Linked DNA regions of Macaca fascicularis. The protein of the gene in region 3 purifies or fractionates together with the protein of the main gene of each other region. This does not show direct contact. Links are inferred from orthologs where the notes say so. Each region holds a gene or a part of one and is shown on either strand. Other genes may lie near its edges. The genes, in order: HNRNPU, HNRNPA2B1, IGF2BP3, FUS, DDX5, G3BP2 and YBX1.

Evidence for each region.
Region 1: the proteins of IGF2BP3 (region 3) and HNRNPU purify together in Homo sapiens (affinity purification with mass spectrometry; 3 studies listed by BioGRID and IntAct, with this or other methods). This does not show direct contact. The link is inferred for Macaca fascicularis from reciprocal best matches to the Homo sapiens genes IGF2BP3 and HNRNPU.
Region 2: the proteins of IGF2BP3 (region 3) and HNRNPA2B1 purify together in Homo sapiens (affinity purification with mass spectrometry; 4 studies listed by BioGRID and IntAct, with this or other methods). This does not show direct contact. The link is inferred for Macaca fascicularis from reciprocal best matches to the Homo sapiens genes IGF2BP3 and HNRNPA2B1.
Region 4: the proteins of IGF2BP3 (region 3) and FUS purify together in Homo sapiens (affinity purification with mass spectrometry; 3 studies listed by BioGRID and IntAct, with this or other methods). This does not show direct contact. The link is inferred for Macaca fascicularis from reciprocal best matches to the Homo sapiens genes IGF2BP3 and FUS.
Region 5: the proteins of IGF2BP3 (region 3) and DDX5 fractionate together in Homo sapiens (co-fractionation; 3 studies listed by BioGRID, with this or other methods). This does not show direct contact. The link is inferred for Macaca fascicularis from reciprocal best matches to the Homo sapiens genes IGF2BP3 and DDX5.
Region 6: the proteins of IGF2BP3 (region 3) and G3BP2 purify together in Homo sapiens (affinity purification with mass spectrometry; 3 studies listed by BioGRID and IntAct, with this or other methods). This does not show direct contact. The link is inferred for Macaca fascicularis from reciprocal best matches to the Homo sapiens genes IGF2BP3 and G3BP2.
Region 7: the proteins of IGF2BP3 (region 3) and YBX1 purify together in Homo sapiens (affinity purification with mass spectrometry; 3 studies listed by BioGRID and IntAct, with this or other methods). This does not show direct contact. The link is inferred for Macaca fascicularis from reciprocal best matches to the Homo sapiens genes IGF2BP3 and YBX1.

The regions. Positions count from the first base shown.
Region 1 is NC_088375.1:4,313,691-4,318,250, reverse strand, and holds the start of HNRNPU (heterogeneous nuclear ribonucleoprotein U), read right to left. Parts: upstream 3,154-4,560; 5' UTR 2,916-3,153; coding exon 2,225-2,915; intron 1,335-2,224; coding exon 1,223-1,334; intron 1,136-1,222; coding exon 1,062-1,135; intron 1-1,061. UniProt on the Homo sapiens protein: DNA- and RNA-binding protein involved in several cellular processes such as nuclear chromatin organization, telomere-length regulation, transcription, mRNA alternative splicing and stability, Xist-mediated transcriptional silencing and mitotic cell progression.
Region 2 is NC_088377.1:104,109,200-104,113,257, reverse strand, and holds part of HNRNPA2B1 (heterogeneous nuclear ribonucleoproteins A2/B1), read right to left. Parts: intron 3,903-4,058; coding exon 3,867-3,902; intron 3,769-3,866; coding exon 3,658-3,768; intron 3,497-3,657; coding exon 3,350-3,496; intron 3,056-3,349; coding exon 2,845-3,055; intron 2,701-2,844; coding exon 2,599-2,700; intron 2,526-2,598; coding exon 2,445-2,525; intron 1,950-2,444; coding exon 1,887-1,949; intron 1-1,886. UniProt on the Homo sapiens protein: Heterogeneous nuclear ribonucleoprotein (hnRNP) that associates with nascent pre-mRNAs, packaging them into hnRNP particles.
Region 3 is NC_088377.1:106,804,061-106,808,823, reverse strand, and holds the start of IGF2BP3 (insulin-like growth factor 2 mRNA-binding protein 3), read right to left. Parts: upstream 2,881-4,763; 5' UTR 2,500-2,880; coding exon 2,325-2,499; intron 934-2,324; coding exon 873-933; intron 1-872. UniProt on the Homo sapiens protein: RNA-binding factor that may recruit target transcripts to cytoplasmic protein-RNA complexes (mRNPs). This transcript 'caging' into mRNPs allows mRNA transport and transient storage.
Region 4 is NC_088394.1:29,371,387-29,375,444, reverse strand, and holds part of FUS (RNA-binding protein FUS), read right to left. Parts: intron 3,271-4,058; coding exon of another isoform or gene 3,268-3,270; coding exon 3,126-3,267; intron 2,922-3,125; coding exon 2,743-2,921; intron 2,551-2,742; coding exon 2,280-2,550; intron 662-2,279; coding exon 627-661; intron 1-626. UniProt on the Homo sapiens protein: DNA/RNA-binding protein that plays a role in various cellular processes such as transcription regulation, RNA splicing, RNA transport, DNA repair and damage response. Binds to ssRNA containing the consensus sequence 5'-AGGUAA-3'.
Region 5 is NC_088390.1:71,091,058-71,093,984, reverse strand, and holds the end of DDX5 (probable ATP-dependent RNA helicase DDX5), read left to right. Parts: intron 1-1,004; coding exon 1,005-1,229; intron 1,230-1,456; coding exon 1,457-1,860; 3' UTR 1,861-2,163; downstream 2,164-2,927. UniProt on the Homo sapiens protein: Involved in the alternative regulation of pre-mRNA splicing; its RNA helicase activity is necessary for increasing tau exon 10 inclusion and occurs in a RBM4-dependent manner. Binds to the tau pre-mRNA in the stem-loop region downstream of exon 10.
Region 6 is NC_088379.1:58,222,207-58,226,264, reverse strand, and holds part of G3BP2 (ras GTPase-activating protein-binding protein 2), read right to left. Parts: intron 3,779-4,058; coding exon 3,697-3,778; intron 2,903-3,696; coding exon 2,729-2,902; intron 2,173-2,728; coding exon 2,082-2,172; intron 1,015-2,081; coding exon 912-1,014; intron 404-911; coding exon 223-403; intron 1-222.
Region 7 is NC_088375.1:192,186,455-192,191,025, forward strand, and holds the start of YBX1 (Y-box-binding protein 1), read right to left. Parts: upstream 3,082-4,571; 5' UTR 2,943-3,081; coding exon 2,143-2,942; intron 2,106-2,142; coding exon of another isoform or gene 2,042-2,105; intron 1-2,041. UniProt on the Homo sapiens protein: DNA- and RNA-binding protein involved in various processes, such as translational repression, RNA stabilization, mRNA splicing, DNA repair and transcription regulation.

The DNA.
Region 1 (4,560 bases), on a different chromosome or scaffold from region 3:
TTACACAACCCAGAATTTCACATAAAACTTTCAATTCAACTAACTCCTTTTTCACCTGCAGTTTTTTACTTCAAAAAGGCTCAGATGACTATCTCAACCTTCTGTAAAGGACATTCCAGTAAGAAAGAGTTTTACATTTACACTCTTACAAATCTGAATAAAACCAAATTGTACAAGAAAACATGAGAAGCTAAGCTTCAATGCCCTCCATCTAAAAGAGCAGGCTGACACCACAGCTGATACTTTCAAACAGGTATTTCTATTCTTTGGTCTATTTATCACACCCAGAGTTGTGAATTCTGGTCACTAAACCAACTACTTTTTTTTATAACAACAACAAAAAAAATGCAAGTCTGACAGTCAAAGCCCACTTAGAGGTTTGCAATACTTTCTCATACTCAATTGCAACCCAACTGGGTGAAGTAGCAGTATTTACAGTGCTGCACTGCCATTGATACCATTCGCTGCTGAAGAAAGCTAGTGGCCCAGTGATAGCCCACTGCTGCTGCCTCAGGTCTTTGGAAGAAATCAACTTATGTTTAAAGCAGCAGCTACTGAACTGGAATTGAGAACAAAAGAGCAGTTATTGAAAAAATAATATTACAATCTTTTAGAATAGGGAATATACTTGTGTGCTAATGGGAGAAGTCATTAGTAAATATTTAACTAGCCCAAATAGCTCACTTAATATAATTCCACAAAAAAATGAATTACTTTATTGTAGAAGCCTGTAAGGCTAAATTATAGGTAGTGTTACAAGTTTCCGTTAGCTAGTCAGAAACTGGCATTAATTTTACATTTCCTAAGAACGAGAACTTTCAAGTCATAAAAATATGAAACTCCTAGAGCCTGTAAAATAATCCATTTGATACAACTGATGCCGTGCTAAATATTAAACTACTAGGTTCTGAATATAAACCATTATCTCTTCCTGCTTTTAAAAAAAACTAACCCAACTTTTGCTGCACTTAAGCATTAAGTTTTCTAACATTTTGGAAGCAAAAAAAAAAAATAAAAACCATCACCGCATTTCATAATTGGGGAGAAACAGCTTCACTTACAAGTATCAAGACAAACCACTGTGTCATCGAAGTGTTCATCTTCTTCTTCAACAGGTGGCTGAGGAGATTTGGCTCTGAAAGACAGAATTGTCTCCTGATACAGCTTTCCGATCAACGAACGAATAAGGGATGACAAGTAAAACTAGGTGAGCATCCTATACCTGCTATACTTGTTCTCTTCAATGTACTCAAAATATCCACGGCCATGATCTTCTCGTGGTCTTTTAACACCCCTCTTTTTATCTCCGCCTTTCTGTTCTGTTTTGCCGTCCCCTAAAACACACAAGACCCCCATAAGAGGCCAGGCCGCTAAACAACAACAAAAAAGCGCTTTTCCGTTCCGAGAAGCAAAGCAGCTCGACTTTATCCTGCTTTTTAACTGAGGTTTTAACCGAGGACTCAAATGTGAATTCGAAGAACAATCAGCTACGAATTGGATTAGCGCTAGTGACGCAGTCTAAAGACGTTACGAATTTTGCCAGTCTCCTCGATGATTCGAGAAACCCAAAGAAAAACTGCGCGGCCCAGGCCCGAAGCCCACGTGTATCGCGACCAGGGCGCAGGAGGGGGAGGGGCCGAGCCCGGCGCGGCGGCGCTCCCCTCCCCCGCGGGCCCGCGCTCCCCGCGGCCGCATTGTACTGATCTTCCGCCCCCCGCCCCGCCCCGCCCGGCTCCTCCCGCAGGAAGTGACGTCACGCCGAGCCCCTGCGCTCCTTGCACAATACAGCGGCGAGGAGCCGCCAAAGCGCGCCCGCCCCGGGACCTGGGGCCTCTCCCCTCCCCCCGAGACATGTGCCCGCACCGCGCGCACGCAGCGCGACGGCGCCACCGCGGGCCGACCGGGCTCCCTCCCGCCGCCCGCCCGCGGCTCCTCCCCCTCCAGCGGCAGCTGCAGCTCCCCCCGGCTCTCGAGCCACATAATGGAGGCGCTGCCACCGCCGTCACACACACACACACACACACGAACACACGCACACACGCCCCGAGCCCGAGGCCTCTCGGCTAATCTGGGATTCCCCGCGCCCCCTCCCCCACCCGCCACCCTCCCCGCGGCCCCCGCCCGCCCGGGGCTCCCTCCCCCTGCGGGGCTCCGGCAGGCCTGGGGCACGGTCCCCACCCCGCGCGGGCCTCCCGCCGCGCGCAACGTACAACGCAGCACTCACCCGCCGCCGGAGCCCCGGGGCGACCGCCGCCTCCGCCGCCTTCCGCCTTCTTCTTACCTCCCGCCTGCTGCTGGCCCTGCCTCGCCCCGGGCGGCGCCACCGTCACCGCGAACAGCGAGGTGGGGCCGCTGCTCTTCCCCGCGGCCTCCTTGGCGGCCCCGCGCTGCTGTTGGGTCTGTTGCTGCTGCGTCGCCGGCGGTTGAGGCTGCTGCTCCCCGTGCCCGTTCTCGTCGCCCGCGCCTTCCTCTTCGTCCCCGAGCTCATCTTCCCCTTCCTGGAAACCCTGATCGTCGCCGTTCTCGTCTTCCGAGGCGGCCTCCTCCTCCTCCATCGGGCCCGAGTCGGCCGCCCCCGCGGCCCCGTTCTCCTCTCCTAGCTCCATCTGGTCGCCGTCCAGGGCGGAGATTCCTTCCTCCTCCTCTTCCTCTTCCTCCTCCTCTTCATCGCCGCCGACCGCGGCCTCCTGCTCGAGGCCTGCTCCCGAGCGCCCGGCGGAATCCCCGCCCAGGTCTAGGCTGCCGTTCCCGGGCTCCATGGCGGGGCGGCCCCCGGCCTCCTCGTCGTCCAGCGCGGCCTGGAGTCGCTCCATGAGCTCGGCCTTGAGACCCTTGTCAGAAAGGCGTCGCTTCTTGAGCTCCTCTTTCAGCTCCGACACCTTCAGCTTTTTTACATTAACAGGCGAGGAACTCATGGTGAGGGCCCCGATTCACCGCTAGGCGCTGCCTCAAACTCGGCTCCGCTCACTCGGCCACTGGTGGCGGCTGCTGCGGCTGCTCCTCGGCCCGGGCGGCGGCTGCGGCTGCGGCTGGAGATGGGGTCGTGCTGCAGAGCGGATCCGCCTGGTGTCGAACGGCGCCAATTCCTTTCACCGAGTTCGCGAGGGAGACGCGGAGACTCGCCTGGCGCGAGCGAGCACGCAACGTCCTCTCGCAGGGGCGGCGCCGCGCACGTAATATAGGCGCCCCGCCCCCTGCGCTGACGGGAGCGCTGCGCAGGAGGAAAGCCGGAGCGCGCCCGCGCTCGGCCCCGCCCATTACCGTACTTACCTCCCCGCCCCCACGCCGAACCCGGGCGGAGAGCGCGGCGCAGGCCGCGCAGTGCGCTTCCAATTGGGACTGAGCAAATGGAGGAAAAGGAAACCGCCTTTCAGTTAAACCGACTCACTGCACAATCTATTGGCCTTTCTGGGTCTTTGGTGGCTATACTCGTTTGGCTTTTCGCCTTCCCAGCCTGGAGGCTGCTTTGTCCAAATGCTTTCTTCAGTCCTCAACTTGGCATTTCAACCCGAATACGCCTTTTCTTCCATCTTAGATCTGCCTTCTTGTATGTTTCTCCAGCTTTTCGTTTAAAACTCCTTCAAATCGTTTTGACTGGTATAACACACATTGGCAACTGTTACACGCAGGGGCTCTTTTCAGCATAATGCTGTATTTGATTTAATATGTGTAAGTCCTGCTTTGCGAATTGGATTTTAAGTTCGAGAAGGGCAAGGGCAGAGCCGTTCTTTTGTCTGTTCCACACCCCGGGTGCAGGGCCTGGGAAGTAGAGGCTTTGCTTACTACTCCATACTGCAAACCCTAGTTTACCAGCCTTTGCAGGGCTATTCTCATGCTCTTAATAACCCTAAATAAACCACAGAATTGCATTTCCAAGTTTTCTGTACCTACCACAAAGACGGACCTCCAGTAAGGCTTGTTCTGTCCACTTTAGGACCTGGTCATCGGCTATGAAGTCTCAGTAGTTAACCATGAGGGTGAGACCCAGCTAGGTCTTTGATTATAGGCCCACTTGATTCTCTTCCTATTCCTGTAGAAATACTCTTGACCAAATCATTCTGAAACTTAAAGTTCATGAAAAATCAAGGGCAGTGATTTTGTTAAAAAAAAAAAAAAAAAAAAAAGGACTATCGCTCTTGAAAAGAAATCCGTTATTTTGTATGTTAGAAGTTTACTTTTTCGCTTTAAATAAAAGATGTGATGTTCCCGAAGTTTTAGACAGGGAAGTCAGAATTTAGATTCGTGATAGAAGTTAACGTCTTAAACCCCAGATAATCTGCAGTGTCCAGCCAGTGTTCCATCTGACTAAGGAGATGGTTTATACCCACTGTTTGGTACTCTAGGTGGCACAATAATATTGCCCCATTATTAATTTGAAATTTGGAGGTATACATATTGAAATTTCTCCCATAGGCTAATGGGATTTAACTGATTGATGCATTTTACTTTTGAAGTTTATTTTCAATGGCTTTTATGAAGCATTCTGTCATACCTTGCAGCCATGTATACGTGAAATATTAACATTTGTGAAATGATTTGACTTGAAATTAATGGACTATG
Region 2 (4,058 bases), about 2.7 Mb from region 3:
ACTAAAAATCTTAAGTTATCTTGAAATACTACATGTATATAGTGGGTAAGGTTGTGAGGCTAGACTAGCAGTGTGGGTTAGGGAGAAAGTAAAAGAGCACTTCCCCCTACTGGCCCAAAAGAAAGTTTCTATTATGTCTCCCTACGAATTACATCTTTTAAAACAATGTTCTCGGTCAGGCACGGGGGCTCCCGCCTGTAAACTTTGGGAGGCTGAGGTGGGTGGATCACAAGGTCAAGAGATAAGAAGACCATCTGGCTAACACGGTGAAACCCATCTCCACTAAAAATACAAAAAATTAGCCGGGTGTAGTGGCAGGCGCCTGTAGTCCTAACTACTCGGGAGGCTGAGTCAGGAGAATGGAGTGAACCAGGGAGGCAAAGGTTGCAGTGAGCTGTTATTGCGCCACTGCACTCCAGCCTGGGCGACAGAGAGACTCTCTGAAACAAAACAAAACAATGTTGTTGGCCAGGCCCAGGAGCTCACATCTGTAATCCCAGCAGTAAGGGAAGTTGAGGCGGGTGGATTGCTTGAGCCCAGGAATTCAAGACCAGTCAGGGCGACATAGCAAAACCCCTACACCCCTACAAAAAAACACAAAATTAGCTGGTTAACAGTGGTGCACCCTGTAGCTCCAGCTACCCAGGAGGCTAAGGTGGGAGGATGGCTTGAGGCTAAGGGTGCAGTGAGCTAAGATCACACCACTGCACTCCAGTCTGAGCAACAAAGCCAGACCCCATCTCAAAGAAAAAAAAATAGGCACAACACTCTACACAGTATGTTCTTTACTGTAAACAGAAGTAGGGACAAATGAAACACTTTCACATAATGCAAAACCTAAACAAAACAAAACATCCGGGCACAGTGGCTCACGCCTGTAATCCCAGCACTTTTGGGAGGCCAAGGTGGGCGGATCACGAGGTCAGGAGTTTAAGACCAGCCTGACCAACATGGGGAAACCCTGTCTCTACTAAATACCAAAATTAGGTGGGCGTGGTGGTGCACACCGGTAATCCCAGCTACTCAGGAGGCTGAGGCAGGAGAATCACTTGGACCGGGAAGGCAGAGGTTGTAGTGAGCAGACACACGCCACTACACTCCAGCCTGGGCAACAGAGCAAGGCTGTCTCAAAAAAACAAAAGCCACCTTATAAAAAGGGGAAAAAAAAAAAAAAGCTTCTGTTGTGGGCTGAGTCTCAAATTACTTGTAGTTAAATACAAGAACTCAGCTTTCTCTAAAATTTTAAATGGTAGAACTTAAGTCACACCTAATGAGTGGCAACACCAGAAATCAAGTCTATTACCAGCTCATAGTTTTAAATGTCCCTTCCTTATCACAAAATCTGTCTTGGGCACCAGCCTTTTCTGTACGCCAATAAAACTGATATATTTATTATATCACATTTCAGGTTCAATGGTAGTTCATAACCTTATCTGTAGCCAGGAGCACAGTGAACATTTTGGAAAATTTCCTTAGGTTACTTTTTGAAAGTTATCCTGGGATGCTTACCATCTAGTTAAGGGTTTAGACATATTTTACATTTTTCTCCTACGTATTCTCCCCCCTTAGATTTTACTCAGTTAAATCCAGTCTTCTGCACTTTTCCAGAAAGCACAGTACAAAAACATATCTAGATCCAATTATTTTGCTTAAGATGGAATACTGTGATTATCTTTAAATTTTCATTTTAAATAGCACTGTATTCCTTAGGCTGTAACTACTAAGACGTCAAATTACTTATAAAAGAAATAACTGGACCACTATCACCTAAGCCCTTTATAAGGGGCAATATAAAATGTTTAAAAACTCAAAATATAAATGAACTAAATATACAATATGGTTAAGTATTAGTCACATAAACAAACCAAAATATAGAGGAAACTGACCTCCAGGCCCTCCTCCATACCCATTATAGCCATCCCCAAATCCACGTCCACTGCCATATCCATCTGTTAGGGAGCAAAAAAGATTACATTTACTATAAGCTGTTCACCATTATTACTAATACTCATTTTTTCAGTTCTCTTAATACCTCAGCACAATAATTAAGAACCTCAGAAAAGCACACGCTAGTGCTACTAGTTTATTCACAAAACATGAAAGCATATAATTAAATCTCATTACCACCTAAATTTTGAACTCTTAACTGAACAAGTCTCAATTTTAGAGATTCCATTTCATTTATACATAAGAATGACACTTCATGGGGCCAAAGCTTTTCTGATGACACTTCATTTTACATTATCAATCCAGATAACTTATTAACACAACCCTATTAAACTTCTTGTCTGGCCAAGTCACAGGAACTTGCCAGGATACTATCTATTTGAAGTCTTAGGGAAAGGTTTTGATTTACGTTGATTTCCTGATTCTACTAATGAAAACCTAATCATATTTAAAATAAAAGCACACTCATCCTTTAAACACATAGAATTTGAACTTACCAGATCCTCCTCTGAAGTTACTTCCTGGTCCTGGTCCGAAATTTCCACCGCCACCACGCGAATCCCCGAAGCCGAAGTTGCCTACAATAAATGCCCCAGTTAGAAGCAAGCCCTTACATGAATAAAAATAAAGAAGAAACAGAATTGAAATTACCTCCTCTTCCACTCCTAGAACTCTGAACTTCTTGCATTTCTTGTCTAGACAAAGCCTTTCTTACTTCTGCATTATGACCATTGATGGTATGGTATTTCTGCACTGCAATGAAAAATTCAAACTCCTTTTAAATTAAATCAACAACATTAAACAACTTTAAAAGTTTACCTTTCAATAAAATTAGATGTTAACATACACAAAATTGAATACATGGTAAGAACAGTACATTTGTGGTTAGACACTTACATACGATTTTATCCACAGGATCATGGTCATCAAAAGTAACAAAGCCAAAGCCTCTTTTCTTTCCAGACTGTCTATCAGTAATTATCTCAATGGTATCAATTTTTCCATATTCCTCAAAGTAATCTCTAAGGTGATGTTCCTCAGTATCTTCTTTAATTCCGCCAACAAACAGCTTCTTCACAGTTACATGAGCCCCTGGTTTTCCAGATTCCTAAAATATTGGTGGGGTAAAAGTCATCCCGACAGAAAAAAACACAAGCATGATTCAAAGTAGCCGACCTTTGTACCATACTTGGCTTGTATCGACCTTAAAACTACCAGATCTACAACAACAGCTTTTAGGGACCTAGCTTTTGACAAATAAGTTAGCTTCAGAAAATGGTCCAAAAACCCAACAGAGCTTTAATAAAATCTTGAGTTAAAACTAAATTCAGAGATACTTTCCGATGTTCAGCAAGGCAGCATTCTTTATGTTAATTGCACAAGACAGTCATGGTTTGCTTACCTCTCTTGCTACAGCACGTTTTGGCTCAACTACTCTCCCATCAATTGAATGAGGTCTTGCAGCCATGGCAGCATCAACCTCAGCCATGGATGAGAAAGTTACAAAACCAAATCCTCTTGATCTTTTGCTTGCAGGATCCCTCATTACCTTTCAAACCAAAGAGGAAACTTTAGCATTTAATCTCATTATAACTTATAAGTAAACAGTCATTATAATAGAATTTACTATGCTGATATAGTTACTTCCTCCATGATTCACTTAAACAGCTACGATACTAACATACAGTAACAATTCAGTAACTTACGTACCACACAGTCTGTAAGCTTTCCCCATTGTTCGTAATAGTTCCTCAAACTTTCTTCTGTGGTTTCAAAGCTTAAGCCACCAATAAAGAGCTTACGGAACTGTTCCTTTTCTCTCTGCAAAGGAAAATACCATTTCAATTTTTATTTACATTTTCCTCTTTGTATGCAGGAAATTAAATTCTTAAATATGAGGTGACCTGCTGGCAGAGTACCTTTTTCCTCTCCAAAGGAACAGTTTCTAAAGTTTTCTGGGGGGGAAAAAAAAAACTTACATCAAATTTAAACCATATGTTAAACTGCATATTAGTTGTGTTACACCAAAAAAATTGCCTCAGCTGATCTACACAAGTTTCAAAGTCATTAATGCTTGATCTAAATTTACTCAACATTAAATTATCTTAAAC
Region 3 (4,763 bases):
CAAAAAAATAGAGCCGGAATCTGGCCGGCTCTAGCGAAAGGAAAGGAGTCGCTGCAAAAGGCTTCATAAGAAAAAGAAAAAGGGAAAGAGCCATGTCTCCAAAATGCTTCAGAGGCTAAAACAACCTGCAAACATTCTGTAAAGGGACATACTACACACATGATCTCGGAGACGAGAAATCCCCCTCCTTAAGTGGCACAAAATCTTCCTGTCTTCATCATTTGGTGGTTGTAAGCAAAAATGTACCCAGGAGGAGTAGGGTGGAAAGCGGGGAGACAAAGGTGCTGACTGCAAGAACCTGTAGAACTTTGGAATGACTCAAAGGCACTTCTGGGCCGGAGAGGCCCCGGCGTTTACGCACGCGTTCCAATACCCCTGGCGAGCTCACAGGGCAGAGGCAAATTCCTCTCCAGTCGGCCGCGCCCACGGCCTCCCAAATCCGGACAGAAAGGCGCGCCCCCCGCGTGTCCGCAGCTGGTTTCGCCTTTCTTGCTCCTGGAGGGGTAGGGGAATCATCCGCTGCTTCCCAAGTCCTGCAGAGTACCCCCCGAAACTGCTTGTTGCGACCCATTTCCCGTAGGAGCAATTTGACCCGCTGTGACCGAGGACATTCAGCTGTGAGCTTCCGAGAGATTTTGTAACCAATAACCATAATCCCGCGGCAGAGGCCACAGACAAGCTTTCAATTCCTACCCAGCATCATCAACACACACACACACACCCCCGCCATAAACTTAAAAGCAAGGGGAAAAGACCAGAACACCACGCCACACCGCAGCCGGGTAAGCACCAAAGGACAAGTTCTCAGCTGAGTCTCTCCACCCAATAACGGAGTGAGAACAGAATCGGGGGAAACAGAAGCAGCAGCTCACCTTTGCCTTTTTGGGACCGAGTGCTCAACTTCTATGGGTTTCCCGTGCAGTTCTATTTTACCTGCGGACACACAAGAAGTGAGAGACGGTCGGCCGAGTTCAGCGGCTCTCCCTGCCCGAAAGACCCGCACAGCCCAACTGGCGACACAAATGGCCTCCTGAGGCCCCCGAAGGGTCCCCGAGACCCGGACGCGGCTCCAGACGGAGGGAGAAGCCGACCCCCTCGGGCGGCGTGGGCATTTAACTCGCAGATGGTTGAGGAGCAGGGTCCGCTGACGGGCCCACTACTTGGGTATCAGTCCAGTCCCCAAAGCCTCCCCCACCCACCCCTGGGGGCCACCAACACGAAGCCCCCAAGAGGGACACGGCCCATCCTCTCACCGCCCTGGACACGCTCCACAGGACAGACTCGGGGCAGGGGGCTCCCCTGGCTTTCTTCTGGAGGGGGCGCCCTGGCTCTGCCCTCTGCTTCAGCCCAACCCGCCGGGAACACTTAGGAGTGGGCTTGGGGAGGACAGGGAGTGGCGGGAAAGGGTCGGGGACGGCAGGGGAGACCCAGAACGGGAGAACTGGCAGAGGCGCAGCTCGGCTCAGGCTGAACCAAGAGCGAAGGACTGCGAGGCGCCCGCACCACGTCTGAGTTGATTAAAAGGGAAGCCGAAAAGCACGGGGCTCCCATGGGGACCCCAGCACAGCCTTCCCCCGGGCGTCCCGCCCCGCCCGGCACCGTCCCTCGCCCTGGCGGAGCCATACCCGGAGGCCGCAGCCCCGCGCCAGGGCCCGGAGAGCGGCGGGCGGCCCGGTGCGTGGCGGCGACTCCCTTCCAGGCGACCAGCCGCCCCCGCCCACCTGCCCCTATCGCTCGTCGGACCGGGGGAGGTGGAACGGGGAAACCGGGCACACTCTCTCCTCCCGCAGGGTGGGGAGGAAGCGCGGGGCCGCCTGTGCGAGGCACCAGCCCCGCGGTCTCACTCGGCAGCAAGGTCGAGGCCACTTTCCGTTCTCCACGGCCGGGGTTTCGGGGCGCAGAACAGACAGCGCCGTAAATAACGACCGAGGAAAGCAGGAAGGAATGAGACACAGGCGGGCATTCTAGCTCGGCCCCCGAGGCCCAGCGTGCCGGGGCCTGGAGCACGCGCCTGGGCCCGGGCGGGGCGCCGGGGGAGCGCGCCTCCCCCAGCCCCGCGCCCCCCTTAGCCAGCGCCGGGGCTTTCTTGACAGCGCGTCCGCCCTCACCCAACAAACCCCGGCCGGGGAAGCAGAGCCGCGGGCTGGAGTGGGAGCCGAAGCTGAGGAGAGCCCCGGCCCCCACGCGCGTGGGTGTGGGCGCTGAGGCCTCACCCCCGCTCCCCCAGCGCGCCGGGCCTGGGGCCCGCGGAACCACCCCGGTGGGTCTGGGCGGGCGGTGCAGGGCTGGGGCGAGAGCCCGGGTGGGGCCAGGCCCGGGCCCACCTGAAAGCGCCTCGATGGCCTTGAGGGCCCAGCTCTCGTCCGGGCAGTCCACGAACGCGTAGCCAGTCTTCACCAGGAAGGGTCCCGACACCGGGATCTTGGCGTCCTTGAAGATACTTTCTAGGTCCGAGGGGGCGGCGTTGTCGCTGAGGTTTCCGATATACAGTTTGTTCATTGTGAAGAGTGGTTGTTTAAAAAAAAAATTAACGAGAAAAACGAAAAATTAAAACCACCCACGGTGATGGATGGATCCAGCTGGTTTTGTTCCCCTCGTCTTCTCGCCTTTAAAATACACAAACACAGTAAGAACCAAGCACAAGAATGAGGAGCGAAAAATCAGATCCGAGGCTTGTTTTTCCTTGTCTAGATATGTTTTAAAAGAGAAAGAAAAGAAAAAGCCTAGCTACAACCCAAACGCATCCACCAGTCTTCCTAAGTCTGAGAAGGAGGCGGGATTAGCAAGAGAAAGGAGGAGGAGGAGGGGAAAAAACTACTTTTTGTCTCTTCCTCCCCAACCCCTTTGGCTTCGGCCAGCGGACTGTGAAAATATCACACTACGTGAGGCAGGCGCCGCCTCCCCATAAAAAACCCAGAAGGGTGACTGGCAGGAGGGAGGGGAGAGGAGGAGGAGGAGGGATGAAGGCGCAGGAGGCGGAAAAAATCCGCTCCGAGTGTCCGGCTTTTTGAATGAGCCACGTGTTCAAACTACAAATCAACGTCTCACGTGAGGAATCCCAGAGCCTCAATTAGAGTGGGTTTCAGAGAAAAAAAAAAAAGCGAGCGAGAGGAAGAGGGGGAGGGGAAACGAGATTGGGAGAGGGACCCTGAGAAGGCGGAGGAGGAAGAGGGAAAATGCTAAAGGAACCGCAGCCGGCACCGAGGGGAGCGCGGCGCGGGGCGCTGACGGTCACAACTCGAGTTTGGAAAGGGTTATCTGGTCTGGGCGGATCCTGGGAGGGAGGGCTGGAATATTGATTTTTTTTTTTTTTTTTTAATGAGGAAATGGGTAGAGGTACTAACAGGCAATTCCTCAGCTTTAGTTACCGTAGTTTTAATCATTCGATTTTTCAAAATAGGTTATTAACAACAAAACCAGAGTCACAATCTCGAACTCGCCTGGTGGCTTTAATGGCATTAGAAGTGTAACCCCAGCAAAGCCGCAGGCACGTTTCTAAGGCTGGCAGGGACGGAAACGATGCGAGGAGGGGTGGGGGACTGGGTGAAGGGGGCAAGGGGTAGTGGCAAGACAGGCGGGCGACGCACCCCACCCTGTGCGCCCTTCTCGGGCCCCGGGCACCCCGCGAGTGGGGGCGGCCCGGGCCCGGGGCGGTGGGGGATGGGAGCCCGCAGCGTCCTGGGCGGGTGTCTGGGCGACACCTCCTCCGCCTCCGCCTGCGCTCGCGGTGGCTCTCGGCTTCGCGTTTGCCATTGGTTGCGCGATTCAGAAAAGGCTCCAGGATAAATGAGGCCGGGGGCGGGCTTGGCCACTGGTGGGGGAGGGGAGTGCAGGGGCGGAGGTTTCTAGCTAGGGGCTGGGGTCGTCGGGGACCTGGGCCGCTGGAGGAGAGAAGTCAAAGTGGGAGAAGTCGGTACTTAAAGGGAAATCCTCTCTTCCTGTAGTTTTTAAAGGGGGAGGAGTGGAGCAGGCTGGTACTTTTATTTAATTAATTTTAGTTGGAGAACTTGAGACTTAAAATTGGAAGACCGTCCTGCGTTACCCCTAGGTGGGATTCGTATTTGAAAAACTGTTCGAGCCTCTTTCTGCCTCTTTTCTGCCTACATTTGGTCATGAGAGCCATACATAATTTTCTCTATATGTAATGAGCACAATGGTGGTTGTCGGGGGAGGATTTGGGCCCGGTGGAGCCTTTGTGGGCCAACACAATGTGAACTGGAGACGAGCAATACGGAAACGAAGGCAGTGCTGGGGTTCTAGTGGAAATCTCCAAGTGTCGTTTAATGATTGTGTACTCCACTCAAAGCTTTCATTTGCACTAGATAGTTGTGTTTTTAACAGGTATATTTTTAACAGGTATTCTATGGAAAAGATATAAAATGCTAATTTTTTAAGTGAAATAAATTCTATATAACATGAAAATATAGACAAGAATCTTTAATGACTTGGTACTCTTACTGGTAGAAAAAAGGTATCCTGAATAGAGGAAATATTGTGATTTACGCTGGAAACATCTTCGGTAATTGTTAAAAGCTTCTCTGTCAAAACCGTTGTTAGCATTTTAAAATGTGTATTTTTCATTTAAAAGATGAATGGTAGATTTAAACATGGGAATTACTGCATGATATAAAGAGTATTTACATTTTGCCTTTTAAAGGGAACTTACTTTGTAATTTTGTGTTAAGGAACCGGAAGGTGTCAAATCATCCATTTTAAATGCAACTGTTCTTTCTTACAGGTTTTTCTTTCCTGCCAAGCGAATC
Region 4 (4,058 bases), on a different chromosome or scaffold from region 3:
TTTAAGACCTGGTTATTTCCCATGAGCCACACATGCTTCCAATCTTTCTTGAAGTAGTGCACATGTTCCTTCCCAGAGCTAGTTTCTATTTGCCCATCTGAGTTAAGTCCATATACATAGAATTGCATTCATTGACACCATTCCGTACTTTATAAAGGTATACCAACTTCACCATTCTTAGGGCAATGTTACATCCCTCTTCCAGAATTAAAACATTTGGAGGTTGTCTCCCACTCTCACACACACACAAGCCTTGGACACAATGATCAAAAGGATCCTAAAGTCAAGATGGCACCACGTGTTCCAGCACGCACTCTCCAGTTTCTCATGATGATGGTCACTAAGTGCCAGGTGTGGCAACAGCCCTGTCCAAGGCCTACTAAACCCCTCTTATTAACCTGGGGCAAACCCATTTGGTAAAAGACGACTACTGAATCTTACCCCTGCCTGCTCCAGGTTAGCACACACCAGGCAACAGGTGGCATTCTACCCTACCCCTTTATGGAGGTGGTTCTGGACACTTCAAAACCTTTGACATTTAAATTAACACGCTAAGACATCTGCAAATGAACAATCAGACAAAGCATTGCTGGGAGTTGGGAATTTTGGAAACTCTGTTCACTTACCACCAAATTTATTGAAGCCACCACGGTCACTTCCGCTGGAGAAGACAAGTTAGAAGAAAGGACATGAAGCTTCCAACGGCTACAAAAGGGTGTTTTTTGATTTTGTTTAACATTTCCCAAACACGGGTAGGTGTTTTTGGAAAAAGATACAAGTGGCTACTAAAATACATCCCTTCCTGACCACCCCTTGTCTGACCTTTGAGCATGTCACACACACGTGTGCAATTTCTCAGACACAGTTTATAAAGATTTTGCTTTAAAAGGTTATGTATCTATTTCCTCTGGAAAAAAATGACCCATTTTCCTTGGTCGTTCTTCCGATGGAGCAGATGTTTTTTTTTCCTCTTGTCGCAAGTGGTTGACAACCAAGTAGTTGGTTTAAAAACCCTACCCCAATTTACCCAGAAGACATTTCACACCAGGCTGGGGTAGCCTTGAACACACTTTTGTGGTTTTTGCTTTGAAAGCAGCAAGCAGACCCAACCCCATTCCATAAAAAGTCAAAACCAAAGGCAACTTCCCCTTAAAGCAAGACAAACTTAGCTAAGCTCTGTCCTAACTACTGAGCTGTTTTTAATCTCCCCCAACCCCCGGGGTCACCCCTTCTACACTGCGAGAAGAGCGGAGTATTTTGCAATGTCACCTTTCATACCTGTGGCACATAAAATGCAGAGCAAGTTAACAGTCACATAACAGTTGTTTTTCTTTTTAAAGTTTTGCATTAAACACACGCACACAACAGAGTTTTCCTCATTTTTGTACGTTTTTGAGATTGCCCCCACCCACCTCTGCATACTTACCATATCCAAACTCAGTTTAAAAATCTACTTTTTCCAAAAACAGTTACACTGACATTCCTGCCCTTTTTCAAGGGAGACAGAGTGGGGTCCTTCAAATCGTATTTACCGACAGATTTGACAACTGTTTTAACATCAAATCTAAGGTTTTACTTCAAATCAACTTCAGCAGGAAGGAAAGAAGGTCCAGTTGGACAAGCTGATGAATTTTAAGTAACCAGGGTAAGGCAGACAGTGGAACAACTAGGTGGGAGACCACTGTCAAGCATATTTTTGCCCAAAAGGTCTGCACACTTCAGTCAGTTGGTCCCATAAACCAAGTCACACCCAAAATCAATGTCGGTCAAATTGGTGCAAATCAAGCTCGTGGATTCAAATGACTACAGAAAACGGGAAGAGTAACCAATTCCTGGAAGCTGAAGTCAGGTTAACCATTACCAACTCCCTAGAGGACACACGGGAACACACATACCAAGTTTCCCTACTATTTCCCAGGAGTGGGTTCATCGGTTTCCCTTGCAGAGAAAGAAGTCTTCACTTCCATGTTTCTTGCCTAGGATATCAATGACTCCAATCCATACGTATTGGAAATCTATGTATGATTTCTTTTTTTTGGAAACAAGTATCAATACTCAAAATCTCTATTCGGTGGTATGGATGGGAGTTCAGGCTCCCAAATTCTCACAAAAATAAAATGGGGATGTAAAAAGAAAATCACTGCCCCCAAATCAAAGCCCTCACAAATCCCCCAGACAACAAGAATACTAAACCATGCATTAGGGACTGGCTTCAGGGAGATTCATGCAATCCTCCACACTCCCCACCAAAGATACTCCCTGGCTCATGAGACACCTACCCCATGCCACCTCTGCCTCCACGGCCACCTCCACGACCTCTGGGTTCATAGCCACCACTGCTGCGGTTGTAACCACCACCACCGCCGCCGCCACCACTGCTGCCGCCCCTGCCACGGCCTCCACGGTCCTGCTGTCCGTAGCCACCGCCGCCTCCACCACTCTGGTCTTGATTGCCATAACCACCACCACCACCACCACTGCCGCCGCCGCCACCGCCGCCGCCGCCACCACTACCACCACTCATGGAGGATTGATCTTGGCCATAGCTACCTGTGAGAAAAAAAAGGATGGTTTAAAAAAAAAATTGTAAAGTAGCACAAAAAGGTATGACAAGTGCCAGGCAATGAAGTACAAAAGAAATTAAAAAGACAGCTAGGAAATAAAACAGGAACCCTTTTAGGCTAAAACAGAATACAAATCCTTATAGAAAATGGGCTGCAGACAAAGCTGAGGACATCTCACCTCCACCTCCACTACCACTGCTGCTGCTGTTGTACTGGTTCTGCTGTCCATAGCCCTGAGGGGGATTATAGCTTTGCTGCTGTCCATAGCTTTGCTGCTGTCCACCATAGCTAGGCTGCTGGCCGTAGCCCCCACTCGGGGGCTGCCCATAGCTGCTGGTCTGAGAACTGCTACCGTAACTAAGGAAAACAAACAAAAAACACAATCACAATCCCAGCATAGCCCCCCAATTTCCTTTTAGTGGATTCCATTCTCTGTACTCAACACAGGCTCCCCTACCCCAATTATACCTCTAAACTGCTCCTACTGCTGCTGGTCCCTTTATCATTCCTCATCAATTCACCCCTCTTTTCAAGCCTTCCCCGACATCGACACCACCGTACCTTCCCGAGGTGCTGCTGGGAGTTGGCTGCTGGCCATAGCCAGGGTAGGAGGACTGCTGCCCATAAGAAGATTGGGAGCTCTGGCTACTGCCATAGCCGCCAGTCGAGCCATATCCCTGGGGAGCTGACTGAGTTCCATAGCCTGCTACAAGAAAAAAGAAGTCACAAAAGCCACCAGGAAAAAGAAAATGTAAGAAATGTGTTAAAACATATACAACCTAATACCTATACTCAAAAAGTCAGCCTTTCAGAAGCTGTTCATAATCTTGCAACTCATAGTTACCCTCCTTTCAAAGCCCAAAGTTAATGCTCCAACTTCTATCCTCTCTAAGACAGTTCCAATTTAACCCCGCCAACCCCAACACCCTCTAATCCCAAGCCCAAGGATTCCTGTTAACAGCACTGTGATATGCAGCTGTGCATGCAGTTACGTACAGGACAACCACCTTTCTTAGTTACACTTCAGGACCTTGGGGCAATCCCACCTCCTTATGTATCACATGATTTCATACATTTGTTTCAAGCATAACCATTTTCTCCATTTAAGAATTGGCCTAAAACTGGTTCTCCCGTTAGAAAATATGCTCTTTCATGCTGAGATGGGAAATGAGAGTCATAAAAATTAAAAGCCAAAGAAAACAAATGTAAACAGAATCACAAACCAAAAAACATTTTTGTTTTTTGAGATGGGGCCGCAATACACTGCCCAGGCTGGAATGCAGTCGCTGTTCAGTCACTATCATAGCTCACTGCAGCCCCAAACTCCTGAACTCAAGGAATCCTCCTGCCTCAGACTCCTCAGTAGCTGGGACTACAGGTGTGCCACAATGCCCTGTAAAGGACTCAGATCCCAAAGAGTTTTAAGAATTATACACTCATTTAGGGAAAAGAAATATGGAAGAGTTTCAACACTTCAGTCCTGCTCAGGTTTAA
Region 5 (2,927 bases), on a different chromosome or scaffold from region 3:
TGTGCCAGTAATCTTCAAAAGGCAGAACATATCACCTCTGCCCCGTAAACTGTTCTCTCCGAGGGAAAAAATGGAAGTTATCCTCACAGTTCACTGCCGTGGTATTTCTTCTGTCCCATGCTTTGCATGACTGCCATGGTACAGCCTTGTTTCAAACTGTTCACTGTGATCTGTGGGTCTTTGAGTTTCAGTGAGTTTGCTGAAATGTCGAAGAAATATTTCCAAACTTCAATGTTCAATGAAATTTTTGTTCAAGTTTGAAATGGAGAGAGCAGCTTTAAAAGGTACTAAGCCTTTTACAAATTGGTGAGTACTGGCACATGAGATCTAGAGCAGGAGCAACTTCTCACACATAGTCAGTGGGAAAAGAAAGTGCTTTGAAAGTTCCTCCCTCACCTACACAGTAGTCGTCATGTCGAGACCTGCCAGAGAGAGACACATTCTCAAGTGAATCCTGGCTTCTTGGAAGCGCTTGCCTAGACGAGACACAGTGCATAAAAACAACTTTTGGGGGACAGGTATGTTTTCTTGCAGCTGCGGTTGTAAGGTCTTGGCAAGACAAGCAGTGTGGCCAGAAGTTTGAACTTCTGATGAATGTGTAATGCAAAGGACCTTGTACATTTTTTTGTTTCAAGGTCCTCAAAATGAGCACATGAAGAGGTTGCTGTGAAACTTTAAGTGGCCCTACTGCGCAGAAGCATTCAGATGTCACTTGATGATCTGTAAGGGAACTTGCTGATTTGGGAATGTGCTAGGGAATACACATTCCTTTTGACAGGGTCTGTCACTGGGTGGGTGATAACTTATACAGATGACATGTGCTTTTTTTTCTTTTTTCAACCTCAATGGTATTCCTACAGGGAATGGATAACCATTTTAACTGTATTTTTTGCAGCCCGTACCTTCTTGGGAATACAATTGTCTAACTTTTTATTTTTGGTCTGGCTGTTGTGGTGTGCAAAACTCCGTACATTGCTATTTTGCCACACTGCAACACCTTACAGATGTGGAAGATGTGAAATTTGTCATCAATTATGACTACCCTAACTCCTCAGAGGATTATATTCATCGAATTGGAAGAACTGCTCGCAGTACCAAAACAGGCACAGCATACACTTTCTTTACACCTAATAACATAAAGCAAGTGAGCGACCTTATCTCTGTGCTTCGTGAAGCTAATCAAGCAATTAATCCCAAGTTGCTTCAGTTGGTCGAAGACAGAGGTTCAGGTAAGGATGACTGATAGGAAATGTTGGTAGTTGTGAGTCACATCGTTGTCTACAAATCCATTTAAATGGTATTGGAGGGTGAGTAAAACCTTGAACGGAAAACTTATGTTGAAAAACTGTAAAACCATTTCACGCCTGCAATGAATAGATCTAATTCTTTCTGTCCACAATGATTTGTGTCATAGACATAATTGATCAATTTGCAATTTTTTTTTTTTTTTTGACAGGTCGTTCCAGGGGTAGAGGAGGCATGAAGGATGACCGTCGGGACAGATACTCTGCGGGCAAAAGGGGTGGATTTAATACCTTTAGAGACAGGGAAAATTATGACAGAGGTTACTCTAGCCTGCTAAAGAGAGATTTTGGGGCAAAAACTCAGAATGGTGTTTACAGTGCTGCAAATTACACTAATGGGAGCTTTGGAAGTAATTTTGTGTCTGCTGGTATACAGACCAGTTTTAGGACTGGTAATCCAACAGGGACTTACCAGAATGGTTATGATAGCACTCAGCAATACGGAAGTAATGTTCCAAATATGCACAATGGTATGAACCAACAGGCATATGCATATCCTGCTACTGCAGCCGCACCTATGATTGGTTATCCAATGCCAACAGGATATTCTCAATAAGACTTTAGAAGTATATGTAAATGTCTGTTTTTCATAATTGCTCTTTATATTGTGTGTTATCTGACAAGATAGTTATTTAAGAAACATGGGAATTGCAGAAATGACTGCAGTGCAGCAGTAATTATGGTGCACTTTTTCGCTATTTAAGTTGGATATTTCTCTACATTCCTGAAACAATTTTTAGGTTTTTTTTGTACTAGAAAATGCAGGCAGTGTTTTCACAAAAGTAAATGTACAGTGATTTGAAATACAATAAATGAAGGCAATGCATGGCCTTCCAATAAAAAATATTTGAAGACTGAATTAAGTGGAAATTGTACTTTATTTTATATATATAATGTTATGTAAAACTTTGCTTAGATGGTCTGGTTTTTTTTGTTTTGTTTTGTTTTTAATCATGAAAACAAATGACTGCTCCTTTTTATTTAATTTGGGAGGCAGGGGGAATCAGAAGGCCCTTTACAATGAACTATATTGCAGGAGTCAATGAACTGATTTAGGTGAATTTTTAGTTATAGGCTACATTGCATAAAAGCTTTGTCAGCTCCCAACATCAGGGGAGTCATTTAATATAGCCTTTTCCTTATTTGCTAGTATGGTTAAATGAGAGAATAGTGAAATAGATACAAAGTCATCTATGTAATGTGAGAATGTGGATGACTTTGGCAAAATTTATAATTTAAAAAGCTCCAAATAACTGGTTTTTTTTCAAGAGATTTATTCTCATGCTCTTGGCTATACTGTGAATTACTGAAATGTTGAACAAACCTGTGAAAGACATACATTCGCTCTTTAAGATGGCCAGGAGCTAAACTTGAGTCTCCTTAACTGATTGAGTTTGCACAACGTTCTCAGTGCAGGTTACTTGTAGATTCTAGTCTTCACAGGCTCCCTGGGGCTCTTAACTGTAGTCACGCTGGGAGTCATGAATGTCTTTCCAATAATTCAGGGAATTTTAGAGATCTTCAAACTGTAAGGTCTATTCATACTCAACACAAGGAAAAAACCTCATTAAAATTAATGACTAATCAGGAGGCAACATAACCAAAAGCACAGTGAATAAAAGT
Region 6 (4,058 bases), on a different chromosome or scaffold from region 3:
GGATTCATCTTAAGTTATAAATTTCAGTCTTAGGGGGTATTTTGCGGGGCAGGGAAACAATAACATTTTTTCAGATAACAAAAAAAAAAACCCCACAGCTTCTTTCATATACATAAAGTAATTTACTAAACAATTTAACATAATAGAGAAAGGTCATACTTCATTAACAGCACCAAATTTGAACATGTGATGTTGTAAGTCTAAAGAGTTCTTTGATCTAACCTTTGGTGGTTCTTGTGGCAGAGAAACAGGTTCTGCCGGAGGAGGAGTAGTAGATTTCTCCTCTAATTCTTCTAAGTTCTTCTCCTCCACTTGTGGTTTCAGCTCTTCAGTCTTTGTTTCAGATTCTGTCTCAGGTTCAGGTTCATGAGAGGATTCTTCCAAAGGCTCCTCTATGCCATTACTACAATAAAATATTTAGTTCACTTTTTAGTGGGAGTTCAAGACAAAATTCAATTTCTCTCTAATCCAATAGGTGTAACTAGTTATATGCCAATAACCTGTTCTAGATCTACAAAGTATTCAAAGCAAAATTCCAAAAAGAACTATAAAACAGAAGGAATAATACTCTCAAGTAGCAGTTCCTTAACCCCACCATTTTAAAACTGAATTACTAAGAATGTTTAATGCTAACTATAAACCTATCTTTTATAAAAATAAAATGCTTACTCTGTGTTGTCTTAAACACTCCACATTATCAGTAAGGAACCACTATTTTGGTGCAAGGCATGTTCAATTTTTGGATTAAATAAAACAATTCTTTCCAAATTTGCATATATACAATAGGTACTCAAATACTGACCTAATAGGTGACTTTACCGAGAATTTACTTCCAACGATAATTCTAGGAACAAAAACCACCTTGCTGACATAGTTCAGACCAAATTTAACCTTGCAAATACTATTCTTACGTCACAGGGTGAGCTTCATAGTAACCACTGTTAGCATTTTCTTGTACAGGTTCAGGAGATGGTTGTCTTTCTTCTTGCTCCTCTTCTACTTCATCTTCTGATTCTGACAATACATAAAACAGCACATCTTTTTTAAAGAGGCTTCACAATTTCTAATGAACATATTTTTCACATGTTTAAGGAAGTGGTATGATAGTAAAAAAGAAAATTTGACAATTTTCTTTCTTTCTTTCTTTTTTTGAGATGGAGTCTTGCTCTGTTGCCCAGGCTGGAGTGCAGTGGTGTGATCTTGGCTCACTGCAACCTCCGCCTTCCGGGTTCAAACGATTCTCTGGCCTTAGCCTCTTGAGTAGCTGGGGTTACAGGTATGCGCCATCACGCCCAGCTAAATTTTTTTTTTTTTTTTTTTTTTTAAAGTAGAGATAGGGTTTTCACTGTGTTGGCCAGGCTGGTCCCAAACTCCTGGTCTCAAGTGATCCACCCACCTTGGCCTTCCAAAACACTGGGATTCTGGGTGTGAGCCACCTTGCTCAGCCCCCAAAAAATTTTTTTTGTTTTTTTAACAAAGGCATTCAACTGCAATATCCTCTGTTCTCTCAAAAACTGGAGAGCAAGGATGAAGTTTAATATTTGTTGTACTCTATTAGAAAAAAAAAAAATTTTCGTAAAAGGAAAAAAATTATATTAAAGCCACAATTTAGCTTCCTTCGTCACATCTATTTAATAGACCAATAATGATAAAGAAACTAACCACTGTACATCAATGGAAGATCAATTAAATAATTATGGCATAGCCACAATGTAGACAGCCAACAAAGACATACTACATTAAAAAAAAAAGGAAGCTTTAAGTCAGTGTAATTCCACATTTATAAAAATACATGCTGCTATGAATAGAATCCAAAAACCTTCTCCAATAGGTACCAAACTTGGTTATCTACAGAGGATGAGACTGAGGGAAACCTTTTTTCTTGACATCCAAATTTTGTATAATCTCAAACAATGGACATCTTTTTATAACAATGACAACAACAACAAAACCACAAAAAAAGATGTTTGACTCAGTTACAATAAAGAAGCAAATTTCCATAAATGTCATACTTATAGAAAATAGTCTATAAAGAGTACCAACAGAACCCTTCTATCTTCGTATCTTCAAAGTAACCTCACCTTCATCAAGTTCAGGCTCAGAATCACCAAACACTTCATCTTCATAACGAAACATATCATTGTGAACATAAAATTTATTTGGAACAGATCCCTATAGGAAACAACATTTATTCCATAAATACCCAGAAATCTGGTATTATATAAAAAAGCAAATTACATGGCATACACAATTTCTCATTTTAATACTGGAAATCTGGACTTAATATAATTTTCCAATGCTGAACATGCTATGATGTTTATATAAAATAAAAAGGTCACTCAAAAAAATACAACAGTAAAACTCGCCATTACTTTTGCACCAACCTAGAACTCAAGAAACAGCTATTTAATAGAAAAGAAATCAACAGAACTTTTCTATTTTGTTTTCAAATGTAACCTTTCAAATATACCAATATAGTTTTTGTATTAATGTAATCTTAATCATCCATTTACAAGCTTATATCAGTATTTGACTTATAATTCCAAATAGTCAAAGCATATGTACACACACACACACTCACTCACTCAAACAACAGGTCAAACACAACTTCTTCAAAAATAGCAGTATGCAAATCTAAATTTATTAGAAACCCTTGGACACTTCAAACCAACTAGCAACAGCCAAATTCAACCATATAAATGAAAACTAAATGAAATGAGAAACTTACTTCAGGAGCCAGAACAAAGGTTTGCATAAACTTCCTTTCTGGTTGTCCACTGTTAGACAGCAAACCCATGACCTGGACAACTACTCCATCACTCAAGGTTGCATGAGCATCCACATGACGAATTTTAGTATGACATTCACTGAAGTTCAGAGATAACACTTTGTGGTGTATATCCTTTATTAGGGAGGGAGGGAAAAATATAAACTCTTGTAATACTGCATTACCTACACAATACTATTACCTGCCCTCACTGATTTCCTTACAACTCCACAGTATTAACTACTTAATCTTCCTGACTGAACTGAATCCACTGACCATGCTATGCATCACTGCCAGACTGATGCTCCTAAAGAAGAAATCACAATAGCTCTCTGATATTGTGCAGTAATCTGGCTTTATACAGCTGTCTCCCACTTTTCTGTAATAAGTATTTAGTCATTCTCATATGTTGTCTGCTCCTTGAACTTACACATAATTTTACTGTGTGTTTGCTGATGCTATTTTTTGTCTACTTGTAATTCTTTATTTGGTAAGGCCAAATCTTATGGTCTCACATCCTCTACACAAAGTCTTCCTTCCCTGTTAGGTCATAGGAAACATATGTTTCTGGGCATTCCTATAGCATAGGGTTTAGCTCAGATTTGTATAAACTTAATACACTGTCTTAACTATCTGCTATATAAAATACATCAATGAGATAAAACATACTGTTCTCTTCTTTGTAGCCATCGCAGTGTAACACCACGTTTCACACAAAAATGATGTTTAAGAACTCAAAGCATGTCTCACAATTATTGTTAAACTGAACAACTACTGACAATTTATGTTGACAATTACTGTCAAACATAAATTTCAGTTACCAATAACAATCATATTGAAAAAAAAAATCCATGGACATAAGAAGGCTATTTTTAAAAATCTCTGTCTTAACACAACATTTCTAAACTATATATGAAATTGATACTTACATTTTGGCCATAAACAGCTTCCTGGGGCTTTCCACTAGCATCTACTCCACCATGAACATAGGAAGAATTCCTGCCATAAAACCTGCAAAACCATAATTAATGATTAACACTGAATTGTCAAGAGAAGCCTAAGAGGCAGTAGAATTCTGGTGTCATAGACTAGGTTCCGGATCCGGCTCTGTCACTAGTTGTGTAATCTTGGACAGGTAAATTACTTAAGGTCTTTAAGTTCAGTTTCCTTGGTTATAAAACAGGAACAGGAACTACTACACAGGGTCGTTGTAAGGATTAAATGAGTAATGCACATAGAATGCTCTTAGTTTATCTGGCACAGTACGTAGACAATCATTAGATACTCATAT
Region 7 (4,571 bases), on a different chromosome or scaffold from region 3:
CAACTGCTAGCTTCCAAACTGATTTAACACATACATTTTCCTTAATTAAAGCAAATCTTCCCTGTATTTAATTGGAGTCAGATTTTACAGCATCTTATTAAAAAAATCCCAGAATAATTAAAACAACCAGTTCAGAAGCATAAAGAATATTTTAACCAGTTAATCTGACAAAATAATCGAGGTTAGGATAGTCCAAAGGACCATCAAAAGCCAATTCATAACTTGCCCTGGAGGATGACCAACTGAGTTGATTCCAATTCAGAACAGAGATATTCAATGAATAGTATCTCATGGACTAAATACTTATAAAGTGTAAAGATAATACTCTTATTTTGGACAAAACTATTGATTTCAAAAAATGTCATAACCTATGCCCACTTAAAAAAAAAATGCAGCGAAACAAGGCACATGCTAAAACTTCTTAAACACATACAAAAACTGCGATCTATCTGCTGAAAAGGATGCATATTTGCACACCAGAGTTACCATTACATTGGGTCAAGGGTTAAAAGCAGTGATTTTGAAGGTATGGCCCGAAGACCATTATCATTCCTGTTAAAAATGTACCCAGACCTAATGAATCCAAAGCTCAGAAGAAATACACCACTTAAATCACACCCTTCCAACGTAAGCACACTTAAATTTGAAAACCACTGGTTTAAGAGTTAGACTAGTAAGGACAGTCAGTAAGACACAAATACAAACTAAAACACTAACAAATTCAGACAGATCAGTTAAAAAGCTATCAGTTTACCAATCATATATAAGCATTCCCTTTCTTCTTTGCTAGTAAGCTTTTATCAAAAAATTAATGAAAACCGTAGTTTCAGCCAGCCAGGAAGGCAAACAGTATAGAACAAGTTGGAAAATCCTAAGATTCTGGAAGAAACAAAATGTTTTCCCACAATTGCAAAAGTAGAGAATAGATCATCAAATGCTTATCTCTTACTTTAAGTATTTCCACAATACTCTATGATTGATTAATGAACAGTTTTTCATCAGGCCATGAATCTGTCCTTAAGCTTGATTTTGCCCATTTGTTGTCCATTCCACGTTGTTCTTTTAATCATCTGCTTAGGTCTTCTACAGTAAGTAAGCAAGAGAATGCTGAGATGGCACTTAAGTACCATACCTGTGAGGCCAAGATTGCTACTGGCATACCCAGTGCTCTACACCCATGTAACTGCACTACTAGCCTTGGCAGCCATCTTGAAAATGATGCCCGGCTCACAAGGAAGCCCATGGAATACTGTGCGTCTACTGCACGTTACCACCACCACTGCCACAAACAACCCGAAGGGTAAGTCCTAAAGACGTATCTGCAGCTTTACCTTCAAACAGGAAGAACAATGTCAAGTTACTAGTGACTATGGCCACTCTAATAAGCTACAGCCAGGGATCTAGCGGAAATTGACTTCATCAGCATGATTTTAGGACAAGGAAGAATGAAATAAGAACTGAAGGAAAAAAACCATTTTCTTGCAGATATATTATTTATGAACAAATAAAAACAGTTCTCTCTGGTCAAAGCTGTGCTAATACAGAATTTATCTCAGGTATTAAAATGAAACGTGAAACAAAGGCAATACAACCTCTCGGTAAAGATGACAAAACCTCATATACTTGACACGTCAAATCCTCTTACCCCCAAAATGTTAACAAGGCGTAAATATCCGATGTCAGTGGATCACATTCTCAAATACCGAGTTCAATAAAGTAGAAAAGGATGACAAGAATAAAAATCTACTGGACCGTACTTTCCCGTTTACCCTGTTAAGGAATGGCTCATTCACTCCGCTTGCCTTTTAAATTGCTTTGTGCTGTGACGAAGCCCTTGAAGTTAGCTTCAAATTAATATTTAGCTGCAAAACAAAGGCATTCTCTAAACCCAAATCCCTCCAGTCGTCAAGGAAAACAAACAGACAAAAAATCACATTAATACACCAGAGGTAGTAAACGCCTTTCAGAAGAGGACTGTGGATTGGCACAGCAAGAAGCAAGCAAGAAGGTAGGATGGAGGCTTCAGAGCCCAGCAGCTCACCTGTTGATGAAACCATATCCGTTCCTTACATTGAACCATTTTACTGTTCCCAAAACCTTCGTTGCTGGAAAAGAAAACAAAGCAAAACAAGCCACGATTACCAGCTATCCTTTTCCAAACCCGTCTCGCTTCGGCATCCGGTCCCTCGCACGCTGCCCGCCGCGGCCACCTGACAGCCCTTTCTCTCCACCGCCTGGGTGCGGGTCCGCGCCGGGGCCACGCCGCCGCCGCCGCACACGTGGGTGAGTCTGAAGCGCGGGGCGCTCCCGGGCAGGCCCGGGGCGCGGGCCCAGGATGGGTGTGTTCGCAGGCCGCGGACGGAGAGCACGTGAGGGAAGGGGAAGCAGCTCCGGACTGCGTAGGCGGTGCGCCGCGCCCTCCGAGCACACGCGGAAGGGAGCTGGGTGGGGGAGACGCGAACAACGGCGTGCGGGCCCGAGCGCACGAGGCCAGTCGGCGGGGAGGGGACCCCGTCGCACACGCGGTCGGCGGCGCGCGGCCGCAGGAGGAGGGGCGCGCGGCCGCGCGGGGTCCACAGGGGGCGCGGGAGGCAGTGTGCGCGCGCCTGCCGGGCGGGCCCCCGCAAGAGCGAGTGGGGGGGCGGGGGGAGGGGCGGCCGCGCGCCGCGGAGTCGGTCCCCACCGGCCGCGCGCCCGCCGGCTCGCCCAGCCCCGGCTAACGGTTCCGCTGCCAGGCTGCCCGAAGGCCCCACCCCCGTCCCTGTCCGGTCCTCACCGATGACCTTCTTGTCCCCGCCGGCAGGCGCCGCCGATGTGAGGCCGCCCGGGCCACCGCTCCCTGCGCCGCTGCCCGTAGTGCCGGGCTTGGTGTCGGCGGCGCTGAGGGCGGGGGCGGCGGGGGGGGCGGCGGGCGGCTGCTGGGTCTCGGCCTCGCTGCTCATGGTTGCGGTGATGGTGACTGGGGCCGGCTGCGGCAGCTGCGGCTCCTCCCGGGGTGTGATGGTAACTAGGCCGGCGGCGGCGGTGGGGCTGCTCAGGGCTCTCTGGGGTCCGCTCTCCGCTCCCGCTACCGATCGAACTAGCGAGAATGGCGGGACAGGCGGGATAAGCCCTACGATCGACCCGCCCTAGGCGTTGTTCACTGGCCGGTGGTACTGTCAATCTGCCCACCTGACCTCAGTCCCTGGCTTCTATTGACTAACATTTTATCAGTCCTCCACTCTCATTGGCTGTCTGGCGGCTAATTCAGCCGACCTACAACCGTTCCTGCCTCCGCCGGCCGCCATAGAGACCGGAACTAGAATTAGAGTAGTCGGCCACGAAAACCATAGAGTACCTGAGAGGACGGGCAGAGGGAACGTGACTTCCACGAGGCAGTCGCCGGGCTGGCGGGCCCGACGTTCAGGGTTGTGTCTCGGCTGAAAAAAAGGCACGCCCGAACGCTGGGCAGGGATTACCCGGCCGGACCCGGGATTGGAAGGGGGCTCGACGACGCCTTAGCTCCCCGTGAAGAAAAGGCTTCCCTCCCTCCCTGCACCAAATACGGTCCCTGTGATCTGAGAACATTACGGCGGGCATAGAGTCGTCTTTTCTTTAATGGCCGTGTACTCGCGGCACAGCCGAGGGTTTCTGGAATTGCCTTAAACGTATGCGTTTGAAGAGCGTACGCTTTTGTCGGAGCAGTCACCTTGGAGGGACCACGCAGGCTCTGGCAGCCCGGGCTCAGCATGTTTAGGGCGAGGGTGTGCTCCGTGGGGACCTGCCTTCTGATCCGTTTTACCAGGCATATATTTTTAAAAATGTGTCTTCCTTTTCAAGTGTTAACGTGTTTTTCTACTGGCCACAAATCAGATTTAATTCAACTCACATTTATTGAACAAGCTAGCGTCCTATGTTTTTTTTCATTTAATTCGTACAACAGCCATGTGATAGAGGAATTACTATCCACGTTTCACAAACGATAAAATTGAGGCTGCCACCTGATGTTACTGAAGTCCTCCACCCACCTTCTTTCGTTCTTTTTTAAGCGTCTACTATCGGCTGGGGATGGAATAGTTCGCGAGTCAGTTTCTGCCTTCTGATGGAGGCAGAAATTTAAACAGCCAACACGGTAAATACTCCAGAGCTGCAGAAGCACGAAGTATTTTGGGAGTAGAAGCAGGGAGAAGGTGGAGGGCTGACTTTCTGCGCACAGGGTACAGGCGAGAAGGGGTGGGATCTCGGGAAATGCAGTCAAGTAGTTCAATAAGACTCGAATGTGACATTGGGTTGCAGAGGTGGGCAGAGTCACTTAGGTGTATTGAATTGGAAATATATCCTGAGGGGAAGAGTGAGAAAAGCAATTTTAGAGTCGTAAGTAGGGAGGGGCATCTTTTTAAAAATGGCTGCGGAGTGGAGAATGGGTTGCAGAGGGGCAAGGAATGGAAGTAGAGAAAGCAGTTAGGAGGCTAGTGCAGTATCCCTTACCCCTACCAATGCCGTCTAGGCCTGTCAGTTCCACCTCCTAAAGGCCTTCTTGAGTCAGTCCTAAACTCTCTAAATGTCAATTCAGAGTCTTCATTCCTACTGCC